2 linked regions of the Drosophila melanogaster genome follow. The protein of the gene in region 2 interacts with the protein of the main gene of each other region in a pairwise test. Each region holds a gene or a part of one and is shown on either strand. Other genes may lie near its edges. The genes, in order: CG32188 and Paip2.

Region 1 (2,380 bases), on a different chromosome or scaffold from region 2:
ACGAACCCTATCGTCATGCGCTTTCTACTAGCTCTCTCCCTGGCCGTCCTGGTCGTTCTGATCCTCCACAGCAGCCAGGTGTCCTCCACATCAACCACCACCTCCACAAGTGCTTCGGCCACAACCACCACGGCTGCTACGACAACAACTGATTCGTCCACCACCACCACCACCGAATCCTCCACGACCACCACTGCCTCCACAAAGAAGAAGCACCGACGCCGCCGTGTCATCATCAGGCGCGTGATCATCCGCCGTGGCAGGGAAGGACGAAGTGAGAGCGGAGACAATCGCCGACGGGTCGTCGTACGCGTTCGCAGGACGGCCAACTGAAACACCAGATTAATGGTTATTTTCTTTAAAGCCCGTTGCTGTCAATCAAAATAAATCATTGAAAAATTATTTTCTATCGAGATGATGACGTGTTTTTTTTAAATTAATAAATTTATTTATTAAGGCATACGGGGAAATCTTGGAGCCCCTTTGTGTCCTTCTTTTCTATTAATTCTGCCCATTTGGGCGCGCCGGCTAACAGAGCTAATTTTATAATAATATTTATAATATATTAAGGGAGGAGCACAGAAGCGCCACATTTAGATATTTCACAAATTATTCCTTGCAAATATGATCCTTACGGTAATCCTATATGATGATTCTTTGAAATGGTAAGTCCTTAGATTGATTTTGATGTCCTTGCTAAATTGCTGTGACGATGTGATGAAAAATTATTGTATATTTCTATACAAAAATACAAGTTGTAAAACATTATTATTCTGCTAAATATTTCCTACAAAGGTCTTTTCTGTTGGAGTGTATATGCAAATCTTTTAGTTTAATGACCATGAAGTCTGCAAATGAAACTATATAGGAGTTGTCATTATACAATTTTTCGGTGCATTTCGACACTGAATGATTCTGTAATAGGGTAACCTTTAAGGTCTTTAAGGGTAATCTTTAAGGTCAAAGCTGAAAATGCAAGTAATTTAAACTTTTCGATAGCTTAATCCCGAAAGAAATGTGTTTCGAAATCTGAATGGTGTACTCTACGTACTTCAAACCGGCTGGCATATCTTAAGAAAGAAAAGGCTTGAAAGGGTCTTTGAGTAAAGAACTTTAAAAAAGTGTAATACCTGTCATTTTAAATAAATACTAAGCAAGTTTAGCAAGCCCTTCTGTCTGTCCTTAAGAAAGAGCTAGTCATTAGGAAGTTAAGAATAAGCATGCAGATTCTAATGACGCCAACGCTGTGATAGTTTGTTTCAAAACGTAGCCACTCCAACGCTAAAGCGCACAAACTTTAAAGTTCTATCTTCAAGTACCTCAAAGTAATGCATGAAAACAAAATTACTATTAACGTCCAAACAGGTGGTAATAACCCTAGCAAAGCACGATAAATAATAGACGGTATTGTAAATGGAACAATGGCCAAAAATATTCACAAGGGGCACATCTGTGTTTGCATAAAAACGTAATACTTTCAGTCCCTGGCCCAAAGGTTCTATAAATATCCATTTTTTCGGTCCATTGATATTAGTTCCTGATCTTCTACGAACCCTATCGTCATGCGCTTTCTACTAGCTCTCTCCCTGGCCGTCCTGGTCGTTCTGATCCTCCACAGCAGCCAGGTGTCCTCCACATCAACCACCACCTCCACAAGTGCTTCGGCCACAACCACCACGGCTGCTACGACAACAACTGATTCGTCCACCACCACCACGACCGAATCCTCCACGACCACCACTGCCTCCACAAAGAAGAAGCACCGACGCCGCCGTGTCATCATCAGGCGCGTGATCATCCGCCGTGGCAGGGAAGGACGAAGTGAGAGCGGAGACAATCGCCGACGGGTTGTTGTACGAGTTCGCAGGACGGCCAACTAAACTTCGAAGCCGTGTAAATAATTATCGGCTTTGATGTTGTTACCAGCCCTTATAAAATAAAAACCAATATGCATTTCCAAAATTCTTCTAATGAATGTACATGGTGGGAACAGTAACCTTAAATGCAAATAAACCAACCTGGATTTAAGAAATATGGCGCCTCCCTTTAATAGGAGTGCTTAATCATGTACTTTTAAGCACATATCCCCCATCACCGATTTGGCTGTACAAAAGGACTTGAAAAAACCGTGTCGCTCGTTTGGCATGAAGGACTTGTATACAAATCTAGACGGACCGCACACTTTCTGTGCCTGTGGACAGCTGCAGCCCTGCCACCAAAGACCCCAAACATGCCGGCGTAACTCAAGGATGCGTCCTGAGGCCATTACCTTACTCTATTTTCACCTCGGACCCACCCAAGTTTAATAGGCGGCTACTTGCGCGTCGGCGCCATGCGCTAAATGCAATGCATATACGAATTTGCAGACCAATTACAAGAA
Region 2 (4,147 bases):
CCTACATACTGCTCCCAGCAATGGCGCACTCTAGTTTCGAGGCCGGAGTGGTTGATCTGGTCATCTGTGGTTTACTGGCGGTAAGGAATAGCATCATTCAGATACTAATAGATATATATAGATCCTGCTACTTGACAGGGCTGTGGAAATCCGGCAATGTATAAACTGTTCGTGACCTGGGCTCATCCCACAGAGAGAACAGCGCTCCTGTCCTTCGCCTACAGTGGTCTTCTGATGGGCTCCATGTTGGTTTACCCGGTGGCCAGTTATCTGAGCAACTTCGGCTGGGAACTGTCCTTCTATGTAGTCGGTGGAGTTGGCCTCTCATTCGGCATTGCCTGCTGCTTTCTCGTTTACGACACCGTGGAGCAACATCCAAGGATATCGAATGAGGAGGTGGATTACCTGAGGCAGGGCAAGAGTCAATTGGGACAGCAGCGGCAGCCAGTGAGTAGTTCCTTGTACTTTTAACTTTAAAATTATAAATTAATTAGCTTCTTTTTAGGTGGTAACCATTCCCTGGAAGAGCCTGCTCGCCGCGCCGCCCGTCTACGCCTTCATCCTGACCCACATGTTCCACACCTACACCTTCCTGGTGATTGTGCAACTGATGCCGCGATTTATGCGCGAGGCCATGGAGTTCGATCTCCGCGAGGTGGGCTTCCTCTCGGCGGCGCCGTATCTGGGCGGGATCTGCTCGAAGGTGATGTGCATCCTGGGTGGCAGCTATGTGGAACGACGCGTGGGTCCTGACCAGAATTGTGTGCGAAGAATGCTGTACGGGATCTGTAAGGCATACCGATAATCGGAGTGCCACAGACATCTATAAAGAACACCTTCCCTTAGTGGATTCCTATATAGATTTCCGTAGCATCTCCAGAAACATCACCAATCTCTCTTTTATATCCCATTTTATAATACCAGGCAGCATCCTGACCACTTCTTTGATTGGGGTCATCATCCTGGCTAATTGTGATGACAAAATACTAGTACTTGTGATGTTTGCCTTCATGATGGCCACTACGGATATGGGTTTCAGTGGCTACTGGCCCACGCTGCTCTACTTTGCGCCCTCCTTCGCGGGATTGCTATCGGGATTGGCCAATGGAATGGCCCATCTTTCCGGATTCTTAGCTCCCCATCTTGTGGCCGCTCTGGTCCACACTGTAAGTTTAAATACAAGTAGTTTATGATTAAACTGATTTATTTATGTACCTCGCAGGGCAGCAAGGATGAGTGGAATGTGGTGTTGATGACGCTGATTGTCTTTAATACGATGGCCATGTTGGTATTTGCATTTTGCAGCAGTACGAACCTACAACCTTGGGATCCTCGTAGCAGAATGGAGAAAACTGCATCACCAAGTGCTCAGGAATCAAATAGTTAGCACTTATTTGTTTAAATGTTTTAACTTTTTTGTACTTTCGAAGCATTTTATTTGTTTACTATAAATGTAGAGTTAATTGTGTTAAAATAAAAACAAAATAAATGTAAATATACAATATACATATCAATTTAGTTTAAAATGATAATTGAACTTTCTTCAACGCAATCTTCAAATAAAATTTTTAAAAACCGCGCCTAGCACATAGTATCTTTCAATCTTATCGATAGTTTTACCGTTGTATAAAGCAAGCTGACAAATGTTTCACAACGACCAGTTTTCTACATTTCAAGTACAAAATTACACAAATATTCAATAATTCAAAAATATGTGTGAAAGCAGACATCTATTGGCAGTCAATGTACTAAATGCTCATATTCTTTACACGCCAATCGATAGCTGTTTGATTTGACGCATAGATTTGGTTTGAGTCCCGGCTGAGAACTGTAAGACGAAGAAATAGCTCATTTACCTACTTTAATGGTGCTAAATCGCATATATCACAATGCTTTAGGAAAAGTATTAATATTTCTAGAAAGCGTATGCTATAACTCTTTGTGCTATACTATATATAGGTGGAAAGACATCGATAGTCGCAGGGGAGTATCGATGCATCGATAGTGCCATCGATGTTTCTCCACCTTGCTTTATTAATCATTTCAATTTTTTTTCAATTCGGTTGCTTGACGTTCACTGACGTGATTCCGCACACAGCACATAGTCGAATACGTTTCGCAATAGAAATATCAAAATTCTCCGTGTGGACTCAATCTGGATTGGATGCAACACTAAATTACCAGTGTTTTCCTCGATTTTCTAGCGACGCAAAATTCTCAGTACAACCCAAAAAAAAAACGGAGAGTCTCTTCAACAACAAAATCAAGCATCATCGATAAAAACAACAAGTCTCCCGGAGGAAGTGGCTCCAAAATATCCAGTGCAACAGCGGACGAACTTCTCGGCAGGATTGAGAGTGAGTAGATCGGATTAAACAAATTAAATAATCCCAAACATTGTACATATGTATATACATTTATTTGTGCGCGGGGAAAGGCGGAAGTCAGAGAACTTGGCTTCCTGGTTTTTCATTTACCTTTTGGCGCTTCCGCCAAAACACTTAAACGTTCACTTAAAACCGCTTCTGGACAAATCAATAAAGGCCAAGTGTCGGATCGGACATTACCTTGGTGTTCCCTACTTACACTTGAAAAAATTTCGTTTAACATGGTAATAAAATTAATCAAGGCTATTTATTGCACATCACAAAGAAAGTTTATGACTTTATCAGTTAATTAACTACAATACAAGGGTATAAAAGTCAATTGCTTTTCAAAATGTCTCAATATAATAAAATTTAAAATCATTTCATATGCCTAACATATACATATACATATATCATCTTTCAAACCTACTAGTAGAAATTCGAATTTATAATTACCAAGTAAAGTGATTTATTGCCTTGAGTGTACTTCAAATAAAACATTAAATGCTAGAAGTCTACTTTTTTTCTTCCTGTGTACGTGTGCGTGGGCCAAGCTAGACTCCAAGTACACGAACCCCAAGAATATTAATGTTTAAACTTTAAACACTTGTTACCTTGAATGAAACAGTGCGCTGTATGTATTATCATTGCCGCTGCTGTTGTTGCTCTTTTTTTTGGGTTGAGGGAGGTTCATTCAATCGGGCACACCAACACCACTGCACTTGAGAGCCCATTTGTGTGTGTGTTTGTTGTTGCCTCCTTTGTGTTTTCTGCATATTCACTTTACATACTAAATGTATGCACGAATTTCGTCAAGTCCGCCGTGCAAATACATTTTAATTTTCGCAATTTCATTTAAAATATGGACGCTTAACTTAACATCTACTTGCAATTCGATGTGCTTCACTCGTGTGCGTGTGTGTGGCAGCACGTACACCAGTAAAGGGCCAGAGTTGCCATCCTAACTTCTTTTTTCCAAGCACTTTGTCTTGCTGATAAAAGCAGCTGATTTTTATAAATAAATAAGTAAAAGTTGGAAGACGCAAAAAATTCAATTTATTGATAGTGCGATTTGACCTACCAAAGGCAATAAAAATCTAGAATGGAGAGTAATCATTATCTTGTGTGGAATAAACATTCACGCAAAACTTGCCTATGTATGGAGAACTGTAAACAAATATTCGCACAGCCGCGGGTAACGAACTAGGCCCTCAATAAAAATAAATAACAAAATATATTATTTTCGATACAAACAATTCATAAAAAATGTCAAACATTTGCTCTTAAACTGACGTGCAATTATTAGTGCGCAAATATTGTAAGCAGAGTAAAAAAGAATGAAATTACGTGATTAAAATATTAATGTCCTAAAACTGTATTATAAAAATATGTACACAATCGAACGTTACAGGCACGTTCAACATGATAGCTAAGCCCACAAACTCCTCCGATGACAATCATCGCCTTTGGCTTATTGCGTTTTGCATAAATACCGCTCTTGACTTTCGTGTTATTTCACACGTTTGCTTGTTTGTTTTTAGCTGATAGCGGCATTTATATACGCCATAAAATGTTTAGCGGGGCTAGAAGTGATACGAGTTGTGAGCCTATACATTTCTAATCGGATGTAGTACTGAATTATAGACTACATTATATGTATATAGCATACAAGTATGTCCACTTATTTGGGGCTCTTTTCGCTTTTGCACCAAAAGCTGAGTCACTTTGTTTTCAAATTTTTGTGTGCCGCGGCCACAACGCAAAAAATAGACATCACTAAA

Evidence for each region.
Region 1: the proteins of Paip2 (region 2) and CG32188 interact in a two-hybrid assay, tested with the Drosophila melanogaster proteins (one large-scale study listed by BioGRID).

What each region holds. Positions count from the first base shown.
Region 1 is NT_037436.4:17,832,777-17,835,156, reverse strand, and holds CG32188 (uncharacterized protein), read left to right. Parts: upstream 1-1,531; 5' UTR 1,532-1,562; coding exon 1,563-1,880; downstream 1,881-2,380. Other genes in the region: CG32189 (uncharacterized protein), read left to right, coding at 16-333.
Region 2 is NT_033777.3:12,979,031-12,983,177, forward strand, and holds the start of Paip2 (polyA-binding protein interacting protein 2), read left to right. Parts: upstream 1-2,015; 5' UTR 2,016-2,357; intron 2,358-4,147. Other genes in the region: CG7091 (uncharacterized protein), read left to right, coding at 1-80, 139-447, 506-788, 925-1,166, 1,223-1,387.